Drosophila melanogaster: one gene and its partners. The protein of the gene in region 1 interacts with the protein of each later gene in a pairwise test. Each region holds a gene or a part of one and is shown in the gene's direction. Other genes may lie near its edges.

What was found.
Region 2: the proteins of Acbp1 (region 1) and CG4586 interact in a two-hybrid assay, tested with the Drosophila melanogaster proteins (one large-scale study listed by BioGRID).
Region 3: the proteins of Acbp1 (region 1) and Cyp6t3 interact in a two-hybrid assay, tested with the Drosophila melanogaster proteins (one large-scale study listed by BioGRID).

Annotation. Positions count from the first base shown.
Region 1 is NT_033779.5:8,160,689-8,164,665, reverse strand, and holds Acbp1 (Acyl-CoA binding protein 1), read left to right. Parts: upstream 1-2,213; 5' UTR 2,214-2,340; coding exon 2,341-2,355; intron 2,356-2,428; coding exon 2,429-2,543; intron 2,544-2,602; coding exon 2,603-2,745; 3' UTR 2,746-2,870; downstream 2,871-3,977. Other genes in the region: Rbsn-5 (Rabenosyn-5), read right to left, coding at 2,934-3,173, 3,239-3,849, 3,908-3,977.
Region 2 is NC_004354.4:6,967,831-6,973,285, forward strand, and holds CG4586 (uncharacterized protein), read left to right. Parts: upstream 1-2,087; 5' UTR 2,088-2,187; coding exon 2,188-3,146; intron 3,147-3,254; coding exon 3,255-4,329; 3' UTR 4,330-4,435; downstream 4,436-5,455. Other genes in the region: Setd3 (SET domain containing 3), read right to left, coding at 1-762; CG3040 (uncharacterized protein), read right to left, coding at 4,629-5,345.
Region 3 is NT_033778.4:12,188,487-12,193,456, forward strand, and holds Cyp6t3 (cytochrome P450 6t3), read left to right. Parts: upstream 1-2,195; 5' UTR 2,196-2,200; coding exon 2,201-3,424; intron 3,425-3,485; coding exon 3,486-3,767; 3' UTR 3,768-3,950; downstream 3,951-4,970. Other genes in the region: Cyp6g2 (cytochrome P450 6g2), read right to left, coding at 266-553, 605-1,876; CG8858 (uncharacterized protein), read right to left, coding at 4,087-4,970. UniProt on the Drosophila melanogaster protein: May be involved in the metabolism of insect hormones and in the breakdown of synthetic insecticides.

The DNA of each region.
Region 1 (3,977 bases):
AACGAAATATGTATTTAAAAGTATTTCAAAGCATGAGGTAACATTTCCGTTTGTCAAATACAAATGAGACCCACGTAGATAATAACATGATGCAAAGAAATCTAAATCATTACTATCAGCTCAAACATGCATTTAATGTGTATGCAATTGTTTGATTTTAATGATTATTTTAAACGCAGTCATGTGCTGCCGGCTTAAAATTGAAGTATGTAAATAATAAACAAACACCTTTATTTACATATGTATGTACATTGCCCCAAAAGAACAAACAGCAGTGCCATGTGCTCAAAACCTAAGACTGATAAGACTAAAGCCCAGTTTTTAATCCCCAAAGCAAGAACGCAGCTGCTATCAAAATATTAGAAACATTAAAAAAAAAAAAAAAACATTTATTTATTTACGAAACTAAACTTATTATAAAGCTTGGATGAGCAAAGGGACATCCGGTAAAAAAAACTTGAAACTTCTGTTCAGTATATATGTATATTTTTGTACTAATATTTTGTTCTCCACTCCCATCTGACTTATGATTATGACTCGCGTTTTAAGCGTTCATCCATGACCATGAGTTATCTGACCGCTAATGGGTTAACTTCTAGTGGTGTTATCGCCGCACTTGAAAGTAAATACTTGTTAAATGAAAGGGGTTTACTACTGAAACGCTTATCGCGGCAGAGAAATGTAAATAAATGAAAGTTATTTGCGCTGATTTGACGCTTTTCCGTGCCTGCGCTAATTCCTCAAACTAATTGACACAGAAACGGATTTAAAAAACTTGCAGTACGCGATAATGAAATTAAAAATAGATCAACAGCTGAAAATACACGGTGTGCGAGCGAGATGGCGTGATCGGGCTATGGCCAGGAAAGTCAAACAAAAGCCAGCGGGGCAGAAAGAGATGGAGAGGGGGAAGTGAGAAGTGAGAAAAACACAAAGAACTAGAACACGGGAAATCAGAATGGGAAATCAAATGCGTTTGGTTTTCTTGTTTGCCTGCTCTTCACACTTGTTATTTGTGAATCTCGAATTTGTTTGACGAGTCGAAAGACCTTCAGCTTCAGCTATTTAGCGCCCTTTTTATCGAGTTGCTAGGCATTCGGAGTCGAGCAAAACAGAGAAAATATGGCCAAGTTCCACGGTGTCTTACCACATTTGCATAAGCTCTGCGAACGGCGACCACAACAAAAACGAAAGCGAACGATTTTTACCGATTTATCACCAGGAACGCACACTTAACCATACACTTTCTTTATTTTAACGAACTTTTCAGATCTTTTCGATCACTTTTGACCACTTTTCACCACTCTTTTTCTGACGGTGCAAATTATTTGGTAAGAACTTTAGCGCATTTGTTATTGTTTCGTTTCGGCTTCGATTTTTACAGGCACTGCGTTGTGTTTGCCCAAATCCGCGTATTGCATCGATTTTGGTTGCGAACTGCGTATATAGCGTAGTATCCGTATCCGTGTGCTCAGCATTAACCGAAAATATCGTTAATGTAACATTTTCTCCCGGCAATTTGTGCACTTTTTGTTACTTTTAGCGGAGCACCGGACGCACGACCAACGCAGATGAAAACATTTCGAACTGAATGAGTGGTTAGCGCTACCTTCTCCTTAAATACCCACGCTCTCCCGCTCTCACAATGCGTTTATGCGGGTGTCATATCATGAAATGAGTTAAATTCATGTATTGATGATGTCTAATATGGCCACATATGCTAGAAATCAATTGTATTTTGTGTATTTAAGAAGTAGTTATATATTAAATTTCCTCTTAATATTGATACATTTTAATTACTATGTACAACTGTTCAAAACGTTGACGTACAGCACATCATTACTCCATATGTTACTAATAGAAATCATGTTTCACGCGCCATAAGCCTCTCATTTTTGTTGCCACATTTGGAGAGAGCAGGACAGTGGGCTGAAAGATGTTCAATTGAGACAATCAACATTGGAAGGTTTTTAAAATATTTCGTTAATGTCTTGAAAATCTTAACGGACTATTTTGGATATTGTTCATATTATTCCATAGCTTTTTTCAAAACACAATTGTTTTGGCAAGAAACTGTCTACCAACTGTTACACATGTTCCTAACTATCATCGTAATAATGTATCTCAGTTCTCAATATGAAATTAGACTTCGAATCTTTTAAGTGTATAGGCTGCCAGACCCGCGAAATAAAACGCAACAGCTTGTCCACTCTAAATTGAAAAACTGTTGGTCACACAAAAGTATAGACCAGATATCGATAGACGCCGATAGATTCGGTGAAGTAAAATCGTGCAATTTCTTTTCCAAAGACTTCCACTAGTTAAAAAATAGATACAAAAATGTCCGAATTGCAGGTGAACTGAATCTACGTCAAATACGCATTCGTATCTTAAAGTCTGATTACCTATTCAAACTTAACCTAAACAGGAATTCAACCAGGCGGCCGAAGATGTTAAGAACCTAAACACCACACCCGGGGACAATGACCTTTTGGAGCTCTACAGCTTGTACAAACAGGCCACTGTGGGGGATTGCAATACAGGTGGGTCTCGGACATAGTCGTCACTCCGCTGCACCATCGATAATTCTAATCCAATGCAGATAAGCCCGGCTTTCTGGACTTCAAGGGCAAGGCCAAGTGGGAGGCGTGGAACAACCGCAAGGGAATGAGCAATACCGACGCCCAGGCCGCCTACATTACCAAGGTCAAGGCACTGATCGCTGCCGTTGGCCTGAAGTCATAGACTCAATCGAAATAGGATGTTGCATTTTATAGTCTCAGTTGTCGTCAAACGCACAAACTTTGATTTACAGAAACTTCGCACAAACTAAAATTTTTCGCACAATATACACCACAAATTCGTAACGTAACGTAAGCCATGTAATTTGTCATAGAGGGAATGAATATACATTTAACTATGTAGGATACTGCTTAGGCCTCTGTGGGTGAGGCGGCGGTGCTTCCCTGGGACTGGCGCTGTCGCTCGTACACTTCGCGCTGTAGCTCGCGAAGATTTAGCTCCAGCGTCTCCACCACCTCAAAGTTCATGTCCTGGCGAGCCTGTTTGATGTAGCCCTTAATGATGTTTATCTGCTCGATCAGCGGATCGTCCAGGCTGGACTTGCTAGCCGCCTGCGGTGCTGACCAGTTGTTCAGAGATTGAAGATCAGACTGTGAAGCAAATGGAATCACAGAGGTTACATATTGATCTTTGCAGAGAGTCCTCGTCTACATACCCCTTGGGCAAAGGATCCGCTTTCCGGACCAGGAACTCCAACGTTGGATTGGTTAGCTGCCATGTTATTTCGTTCGTAGGCTTCCATGGCCATGCGCTGTTCGGTGAGGATACGCTGCTCCGTTTCCATGCGTCTACGCTCCTGCATCTGGCGTATGTGCGATTCCTCTGGCAGTGGGGGCAGCGATAACATTCGCTCCTTGATGGCTTGGATGCAGCCCAACCGAATGGCCTTCTTTAATGCCTCCTCCCGGCTGCCTGGTTCACAAAATATGGCTAGAATGCGCTTGCTCCTCATGTCCATGGCCTCTGCCACTTGTCCAATCTTGCCGCGCAAAGCACCTGCATCCGCCAACGTGAAGATTGTGTCCCCTTCGTTCAAGCTATTGATGATCTTTAGATACATGTCCAGATCCGGGGTAACTTCTTTTTGTAGTTGACGAATTTGTTCGTAGACCTGGACGAGGAGTGGGCGACAAGTGCGACTTTCGTGCATATCCTTTCGGGTGTCCAGCAGCCAAAGGCAGTGTTCGCACAGCCGGATGGCGTTCTCATGCTGATGCAGCTGCTGAAGGGGCTCGCTTCTTGTGGTGGAAAGACTGGCTAGTTGCACTGCGGGATTATAATCAAATAAGTTACATTATTTTCCTCAATTATTGGATCTACAAACTGGCATCTTCCAGGGGCAGGAACTTGGAGCAATCATTGCACATTATGCCTCCGCACAAACGGCAGTGGTG
Region 2 (5,455 bases), on another chromosome or scaffold:
GAGGAAGGCGTACTGCTTGGCGATGACGCGACACTGACGCATTGCCAGAGCGGCTGCAGCGGTGCCCCGGAGGAGCTCCATCTGCTTGGTGGTAAAGTATAGCACGGTGTTGTATTTGGCAGGCAGAACATCAATGTAGGGCCGCCACTCGCTGAACTCGCCACGGATCTTCTCGATGACCAGATCATAGGCCAGGTTCAAGTGGGTGGCCTGCGTCATTTTGCCAAATAGGCGGCAATCGGAGTTGTTTTCCTCGGATAAGATGAGCTTCCGGGGCACGCTGAGCACCAGCTCATCCTTGGCCAACGGTCGGGTGGCCCGCAGACCCAGTTGGTAGCCGGGAAAGATGGCTATCTCCAGTCCCTCACTGTGAACTCCGCCATCTTTGGCCCACGCACTGAACGCCTCCACTTTGGCCAGACGGGTCTGATCGTCGGGGGAATCGCTGATCTGCGGACACACTGCTTGGCTGAGTGGCTCCTCCAGGATCATGATTTGTTTGAGCAGCTCCTGTAGCTGCCCGTACTGCTTCCATTCCTCGTTGGGATTCGCCGGTTGCTTTTCCACCAAGTCAAGCAGTTCCTCGACGAGCTTGTTTAGTTGGCTCCTCTTTTTGCCGTTTAAACTGGGCAACGAACTGGCCGCCTGCTGGTCCTCAAAATCCTCGACTGCTGTGCCGGATGCGGATGCAGTTACTCCGTTTTGTTGTGGCTGCTGTTGCTGCTGTTTTGTCTTCTTGTTGCGCTTCGTGTTCTTACCCATGGCGGTGCCGTTGGTGGGAGCGAGAGAGAAAGACAGAGAGAGAGGAAGACAGAAAGCTAAGCGGTACCGGCGGCCCAAAACAACAACAGCCAAATAAGGAAAATAAAGTCGAGAAATCTGCACGCGGGCGATCAGCTGGCCGGCAGTGTGGCCATTCGTCGGGCGCCACTAAATTACTCCGACAATTGGTCACACATTCGACGAGCTTTTATGCTGAAAACTTTTTAATAGGGGTACTCCTAAGCTTTTTTTTATTACAAAACTTATGTTTTCTTGTAAAATAAATTGTAATTCACGTTGCATTTTTGGCACATCAATAATATTATAATAATTACTCTTTATAGTTATTAAAATGGCCAGTGTTTTTTTATATTTTATGTTGCATTCTTGAAGAGCGGGAAATTTAAATTGAGAATTTGTCCTAAAATCCAGGTTGCAGAAGCTCGTATGTATAATAATATATTTATTTATTTATATAAATAAAATCGCTCTTTCCATGTCTTTTAGTTTCTATTTATAAACAATTTGACAATGGCCCATAGGGTTATCTTAGATTTTCTAAACGTCATCCAATTGAGAAACGTTATGTTGATAACAAGAAATCCACGAAATAAAAATGTTATTGTACGAAAAAGAAATAATTGTTTGTTGAGCTTTGTGGGTTTTTGCAAAACAAAAACAACAAGAAATATTTACGATTTTCTTATCTACGGTAAAAAAAACTTGAACTAAAAAACTAGGAGATAATGCCGCTCATCAGATGTTTACGCACTTTGTGCCATTTTTGGCTAGGGTGGACCAACACACAAATCAGCGTTTGAGTTAATAGTAAGAAACAAATTCCGTCCAAATATACAACCTAGGATACGAAATCTAAAACATGATAAGTGCATCTTGTAAGAAAGACGCAGTTTGAGAAACTTTCGACAAATACGGAATATGGTCCACCCTAAGGCGCTCAAGCAATTTGAGAGTGGCTCAGTTCTCAGTTCAGTGACTCCAATGCAGCAACAACGGCGGTTGGAGCACCAGCGGGCAGAGCGCGAAAGAGAGGCAGTGGTGGGGCTCCAAAGGCGTAGGCAGGATGGACCATCCAAAGGGGTTCCAGATCGCCTCTTCTGTATAAGTTATCCATAAATAGCTTATACACTGCATCCTTTATGAGTATAATGTGGTAAATGTATAAAGAATCCCGGTATATTAATTGGCAACTCATCTTTAATTTCGGATCACTGATAACCAACCATATTCCCCTGCTATCCCCGCCTTTGGTGACCTGGCTGCCATGTTTCGAGCTGCAGAACTGTTTCTTCCAGCCACCAACTTCTCAGTGCAATCGAGTCGTTCGAGCAGAGAAGTTGGGAAATCCCGTAGAAAAGTAAAACTCTAGGAAAAGAGAGATCGGGAAGGAGAGATAGAGCGATCATGTCTGTGAATGCGGATCTGCAGAGAGAGCGGGCGGCGGCCACCTTGGACAGCGAGGACTTTGCCCGCTGGTGGGCGGGTGGCTCTGGGCAGCTGGAGGAGCGCCGCGCCCTGGAAAGGCGTTTCTATGAGGATCCCGACTTCGCGGAGCCAGTGCATCCGAGCTGTCTGTCATACAAGGAGCGCTACGAACAGACCGTGGCCCGATCCACACGCTTCCTGGCCAAACTGCGCCAATGGCAGCGGGAGAAGCAGCCACAACTTCAGCTTAGTGTGAATATGCTGAGGGACTTTCGGCTGCTACTCTCCGGATCCCTGGGCACGGGCCTCTTCCAGCAGAGCTTCCCCCTTCGGGTGCATTTCTCCATGTTCATGACCACCTTGCTGAGCCAGGGAACCGAGGAGCAGCAGGCCCAGTGGCTCAATCGATCCTGGCACATGGACGGCGTCCTGGGCACCTATGCGCAAACGGAGCTGGGTCACGGCACCTTTGTCCGGGGCCTGGAAACCCGAGCCGACTACGATCCCATCACGCAGGAATTCATCCTGAACACCCCAACGCAAAGTTCATACAAGTGGTGGCCCGGCGGACTTGGTAATACCGCCAATGTGGCCATTGTGCTGGCCCAGCTATATGTGAAGGGCAAGCATTATGGCTTGCAATCATTTGTGGTGAGGATCAGGGACGAGAGGACACACGAACCGTTGACTGGAGTCGATGTGGGCGATATAGGACCTCGCCTGGGTGGCAATGGCGTTAACAACGGCTTTCTGGGACTCCGCGACGTGCGGATACCGCGCAATCAAATGCTGATGAAGAACGCCCAAGTCCTGACCGACGGCACCTTCGTCCAGGGTAGACCTCCGCTGCTGCTCTACGGCACAATGGTCTATGTGCGGGTAATTACCGTGAAGGATGTGCTCTTTGGACTGCTCCAGGCTGCCACCATTGCCACCAGGTGATTATATAGTTTCTGGGGATTATGTTTATCATAGCTGTTATTAAGCCCATAAAACACATTCAGCTCACCCAGGGTTCTTTAGATAATAATTATCATTATCTTTAGGTATTCCGTGGTGCGTCGCCAGAGCCGGATTAACAGCGATCAGCCGGAGGTCTCTGTTTTGGATCACATCACACAGCAGGCAAAGATTCTACCGCAAATTGCTCGAGGAGTGTCCTATCGCCTGGTATCCGATTGGCTGTGGCGCTTCTACGAGGACGTACTCCGCCAACTGGAGGATGAAAGCACGAAAGGACGCAACTCCCTGCCGGAGCTGCACGCCCTGAGCTGCTGCCTCAAGGCGGTGGCCACCGACGAGGCCAGCGAGGGAGTTGATCTGCTGCGCAAGAGTTGCGGTGGCCACGGATTCCTTTCCTCGGCGAATTTCGATAGCATCTATGGTCTGACCGCCGCCACATACACCTACGAGGGAGAGTACACAGTACTCCTGCTCCAGACAGCTCGTTTCCTCGTCCGGCAGTATGCGGATAGCTTAAAACGCAAGGTGCTGCCCTCCAGTGTCTCCTATTTGAGGGATACAGCCCGTTTGATTTGGGGCAAGAATCTGGTTGCGAATTGTGTGCGAGCGCTGGAGATTTCAGCCATGGAGCAGGTGCGTGATGCTTGGCAGACCCAGAAGATGCACCAATCCGGCAAGGTGAGTCCCGAGATGGCCAGCAATCTGGCTGGAAGGCAGCTCACCTCGGCTGCCATAGCCCATGCTCACGCATTCTTCACACGCAATGCACTGGAGCAAGTGGAAGCACTTCGAAAGAAGGGCGATCTTAGCCCGAATGTCTCACTCATCTTGGGCCAACTGGTTGAGCTTTTCGTCATCGATACATTCCTGCGACAGTCGGGATGCGTGCTGCGTTGGAACAACGGCATCACTGGCACCCAACTGCGCTTCGTGGAGCGTCGCTTTGAGGAGCTGCTGGCCAAGCTGCGACCCAATGCGGTGGCTCTGGTGGATGGATTCGATTTTCACGATCGTGTCCTGGGCTCCACGCTGGGGTGTCACGATGGCCGGGTGTACGAGCGTCTCATGGAGGAGGCACGCCGAAATCCGATCAACCAGGAGCCGGTCAACTCGTCCTTCCACAACCACTTGTTGCCCATGATGCGGGGAAAGCTGTGATGTGGGGCTGGTCTTTTGTTTTCTACATACGTATATGTTATTCACTAATTTTTGTATTGAAGTTGAATCATAACATTTTTTTTTAATAAAGGAAATAGGATTTCGCAATTGTTTGTTATTTTGCACTTACCATTTTCAAACTAACTTACTTGCTCGCCCTTGTTAAAGTTGTCTTTTTCCGATTTATTCGTATCGTTTTACACATTACACATATTGAATTAAGCTATTAAATTAGTTTACTCGGATAAATAAAGGCTGGGGTACACACAAAAAAAAAAGGGATTTGATCTGAATCGAGTCTAGAACATCTTCTTCCTGACCGCCGTATACCGCTCCATGTAGACATCGTAGCCATCGAGATCGGTGAACTGTTTCGAGTTGAACAGATTGCCGTCGACGGCCAGGTTGCAGATTTTCGAGTCCTTGAGGATCTTGGGTGTAAAGGCCGCTGCCTGAAGGCAGTTCTCCTCGAGCCGCAGTGTCTTCAGCTTGGGACAATCGGCTACTTCCTCCGCCAGCGAGGATATTTGGTTCTGGTTAAGGTTCAGTTCGGTCACAAACAGTCCGCCCACATCGGCGGGCACATCGGTGATCTTGTTCCTGGACAGGTCCAGGACATCCAGCTGCTTCAGACCGCACAGCATGGAGGGGAACTCCTTCAGCTGATTGTTGCTCAGATTCACGGTCTTCAGGTGCGTGCAATTGGCCAGGGTTTTGGGCAGCCTTGTCAGCATATTGTCCATCAGCAACAGCACCTCCAGCTTGGCCAGTTCGCCCACCACCTCGTTGAGTTCCACCAGTCGATTTCCGCTTAGATTGAGGTGCTTGAGTAGCGTCAGCTTGCCCAGTTCGTCGGGCACACGTTCGAAGCGATTCTCGGAGAGATCCAGGGTTTTCAGGACATTCGGGTAGGCCCTTAGCTGCAGTGGGAATTCTTGCAGCCGCTGCAAGGATATCTTCAGGATTCCCGTCTTCTGGGCCGTCTCCAGTTGTTGTTTTATCTGTTTATTGCCCATTGTAGCAGGGGTCTCTCCAGGGAATTCAAGGTTTTTCGCCTAATTAAGAGGTGGGCGGGTCGACTGATGACAAATCCAGATCTCACACTCTTCCTGCGCGGTATGTGTGC
Region 3 (4,970 bases), on another chromosome or scaffold:
TGTGGAATAAGTAGAGTCTATACAGATACGCTTGGATCTTGGAGATGTATTATATATGTATGGATAGTATTGCATTCACTATTCACCGGCGATGGAACACGCAATTTGCCAATCAAATTGCCTTTAAGATGCGACACCAGCTCAATTTTAAATCCCCAAACACGCGACTCCGCTGCTTAGTTTCCATTCAGTTGTTGTAGGCTCCATAGTCTCACCACCCAGGAAAGAAGTATCCAGATTATCCCATATCCCATATTCAGGTGAGTTAGACGCCCAAAGCATCGCGAACCAGCCGTAGGTGGATGCCGCCCTTGGCTTGGGTTATGATGGCCTTGGGATCCAGCTGCATGCGATGGGGTGTGCGCTCCGAGGTGGTTATCATGTGGTTGCGCAGCAGGTTAACCAGACCCACCTTCGCCTGGAGATATCCAAAACGTTCTCCGATGCAGCCATGCGGACCCAGGCCGAAGGGCATGTAGGTGTAGGGCGTGTGGAGCTTGCGATTCTCGGGCGAGAATCTTTCAGGCAGAAATTTTCGCGGTTGAGGAAAGTACTGGAAAAGGGTAGTCGTTGGGTAATGTATGCAAAATGTATCTCAACCCACCTGGGGATCCATGTGCAGGGCATAGCAGGGTATATAAACGGGCATGCCCTTGGGCACCACGAACTTTTTGTGGAACGGAGCCAGCGAGTAATCCCTCCCAGAAGTGCACTCGCGATCCAAAAACGGCAGTGGCGGATACATGCGCAGCACCTCCAGCAGAATCATTTGCATGAACTCCAGTGACTCGATCATCTTCAGCGTCACCTGACCTCCACTTTCGACCAGTGCATCCTTGATCTCCTCCCGCAGGCGCTGCTGTACGTCCGTATCCTTGGCCAACTCGTACATCGCGAACGCCATGGTCGAGGAGGAGGACTCAAAGCCGGCGGTGAAGAAGAGTACCGCCTGGGCGACCAGGATGTCGCCCTCGAACACAAATTGATCCTTGATACCCGATGCCTTCGCCAGCTGCGTGCTCCTACGGAACTCAATGAGAATGTCGATGAGATCGTTGCGCTTCTGTCCGGATTTTTCCCGCTCCGACATCACATAGTTGATGGTCTTGCGCAGAAAACGAGTGGCCTCCGCCGGCACCACCTTGAATCTAACGAACGGGACCAGGTGGGGCAGGAAAAACACTAGAGTGAACTCCGCGGCACGCAGCAGGTTGAACTCGAACACAGAACGTCCATGGCGGCGGAACTCGCACTTCGGATCCGTGAAACTGTTGGCACTCACTCCGTACGCTACCGTGGCTATCACATCCGTGGTGTAGAGAGCACACAGCTCCTTGGCCTCCAAGTCGAAGCAGCGCATCCGCTCGTTGTGCAGCGGCTGCTGGCGGAGATGGGCATCCAAGCTGGCGCCCACCTCCTCGATCAGGGGAAACATCTGCTTCAGTCGATTGCCGGTGAAGAAGGGCGATAGCTTCAAACGTACCTCCTTCCAGGCGGGATTCTTCAGGAAGAATATGTTCTGGGATCCCAAAGGGTCGCCCTTGGGGTCGGAGCTCGAGTACCGGTTGGAGAAGCCAGCGAAGTCCTTGACCAGGATATTTCTCACCATTTCGGGGTCTCTCAAAAGCAGCGCCGGCTTGTGGAACACATGGATGCCCACGAAGGGTTCGTTCTCCGCATCGGGATGGTTATACAATTGCGATATGAACTCCGCGGGACTCATTCGCATGTTGAGCAGTCCCATCAGGTTGCCCACTATCCATTTGGGCCTGATTTCGCGTACTCCCATTCGCCGCCAATAGGAGTAATGCTGCTGCAGCGCCAGAAAGGCAATCCCTATTAGGGATGCCACGAGGATCAGCAGTACCAGTTCCATGCTAACGCCACCAAACCCAATGTCCAACTGGCTGAAATATTGCCAGCACCATAGAGTTAAAGCTTTGGGTAAGCGGAAACTCTACTATGAGATCATCAAGATGATCCTGAGTGCAATGAATGAATCTATTTGTGAATGGAAGTGCTTGTCGAGATGTTAAGTGGGTCAGGTTCAACTTATGCATATGGAAATGCATTTCTTGACGGTCGTGAACAAGGTCTCCTCCTCATTCAAAAGAACGACTTTTTGGATCTTAGCTATCTTTACCTAATGCTGGTATATATTTCATAGTTATAATATTCTATCTTATATCTTATAGACACCATGCTGCTCATCTGGCTGCTGTTGCTCACCATTGTGACTCTGAATTTTTGGTTAAGGCACAAGTACGATTACTTCAGGAGCCGTGGGATTCCGCACCTGCCACCCTCCTCTTGGTCACCAATGGGCAATTTGGGACAACTTCTATTTCTGCGCATTTCTTTTGGCGATCTCTTTCGGCAGCTCTACGCAGATCCACGAAATGGTCAGGCGAAGATCGTTGGCTTCTTCATATTCCAAACGCCGGCGCTTATGGTTCGGGATCCGGAGCTAATCCGCCAGGTGTTGATTAAGAATTTCAACAACTTTCTCAACCGGTTCGAATCGGCGGACGCCGGAGATCCCATGGGTGCACTGACGCTACCGCTGGCTAAGTACCATCACTGGAAGGAGAGTCGGCAATGCATGTCCCAGCTCTTCACCAGCGGCCGTATGCGGGATGTCATGTACAGCCAAATGTTGGATGTGGCCAGCGACTTGGAGCAGTACCTCAACAGGAAGCTGGGGGATCGGCTGGAGCGCGTTCTCCCGTTGGGAAGAATGTGCCAGTTGTACACCACCGACGTGACGGGGAATCTCTTCTACAGCCTGAATGTCGGCGGATTGCGTCGTGGTCGATCCGAGTTGATAACAAAAACCAAGGAGCTATTTAACACCAATCCCCGCAAGGTTTTGGACTTCATGAGTGTATTCTTTCTGCCCAAGTGGACGGGTGTGCTGAAGCCCAAAGTTTTTACCGAAGACTATGCGCGCTATATGAGGCACTTGGTAGATGATCATCACGAGCCCACCAAAGGAGATCTCATCAATCAATTGCAGCACTTTCAGTTGAGCCGCTCATCCAACCACTATTCCCAGCATCCGGACTTTGTTGCTTCGCAGGCGGGTATCATACTGCTGGCCGGATTTGAAACCTCCTCAGCCCTGATGGGATTCACTCTCTATGAGTTGGCCAAGGCTCCGGATATTCAAGAACGACTGAGGAGTGAGCTACGAGAAGCCTTCATCTCCACTGCTACCCTAAGCTATGACACACTGATGACTTTGCCCTATCTCAAAATGGTGTGTTTGGAGGCACTGCGTCTCTATCCGGCTGCTGCTTTCGTCAACAGAGAGTGCACCAGTTCGGCATCCGAGGGATTCTCACTGCAACCGCATGTGGATTTCATAGTGCCACCAGGGATGCCAGCATACATCTCAATACTCGGCCTCCATCGCGATGAAAGGGTTAGATTTAAAACCAAAGGTGATGATTATCCCAACTTACTTATGTCAATCTAAATTCCAGTTTTGGCCGGAGCCCTGCGTCTTTGATCCCGAGAGATTCGGTCCGGAGCGATCTAGGCACATCCACCCGATGACCTACATACCCTTTGGAGCAGGTCCACATGGCTGTATTGGTAGTCGCCTGGGCGTACTCCAATTGAAACTGGGCATAGTGCACATTTTAAAGCAATATTGGGTTGAGACTTGCGAGCGAACAGTATCGGAGATTCGCTTTAATCCAAAGTCCTTCATGTTGGAGTCTGAGAATGAGATATACCTAAGATTCTGCAGGAGTAGTTTGTAGAGTTATAGGCATCCTAAAACAATCGGCTGTGATATGTAATCACCTTTGTTCCTATAATCTAAATAGAATAGATAATCTAAATAGCTCCCTAAAATTTGAACTTAAAACGAAACTGAAAGTATTTATGATAGTATATTTAAGGTTTCCTTACACTCCTGGATCAATGAATCACAATAGAAAATTATCTTCATGCAAGTTACTTATTCATTTTTGCCAAAGTTAGATGTTTTCTTTTAACGCTTACCCCCTTTTATAAAATCTACCCAAGGCAGATTTTTTGGCCACACACACATCCTTGAAATGCTTATATTAATATGACTTAATTCTGTGGATTCAACTTGCTTAGCTTGTCTTCGATGTCCTTGATGCGACACCGGATTTCCGGCGCCGAATCGCGCTGGAACTTTTCCAAATTCGATTCAAAGCTCTGCTTGATCAACCTCAGTGGCTGCTGGTTTCCGTTTCCGCTTCCGCTCAGCCGCTTGATCAGCATAAGAACGATGTTGAGCGCCTCCTTTTTCAAACCGGAATGAGGAACTCCAGCGGCAAGAGCAACTGCAGCCAAAACATCTGTGCATATCTTCTCGACAATGGCCTCTCGGGTTTTTGGCGCCGTCTCCTCTGTCTTGATCTTCTTCTCCTGGTTTATCTGAGTCAAATCCGGCACTTGAGCAGACTCATCAAAGACATGAAGTCTTTCGATGTACTTAGTGAGTGCTGCCAGCAGACTGACTTGCACTGGGCGAGTGCTCTCCGCCAGAATGCTCGTACAGTTTTCGGCAAAGAAGAGTTGGTAGCGGTGCTGCGTCTCGATGGAGTGACGCGGCCAGGATTTGCCCAGTGTCTCCCACACAACCTCCTTTAGTCGATTGAGTGTTTGAGCCCGCTTGTTGCGCTCGTCGGCAGACAGTTCCTGACTGGTGTTGGGCTCGTCCTCGTCGTCCGACTCCTTGCGCAGTTCCTTCTTTTCCAGCAGGTTCCAGCTCATGTTGTACACTTCCTCAAAGCGATCCGCTTCCAGTTGATCGAGAATTTCGCCAAGAGAAGCCAGGGCCATGGTGCGGTAAACAGGTTCCCTCTTTCTTGCTTCCCTCATGGCCGCGTCGATAATGCTGGAACAGATTTGATGGTTCCGATCCAATCCTTTGGTGAGTGCGGCCAAAGCTTGCAATAGCCGCTCTTTGCCCTCAAAAGTGCGTCCTT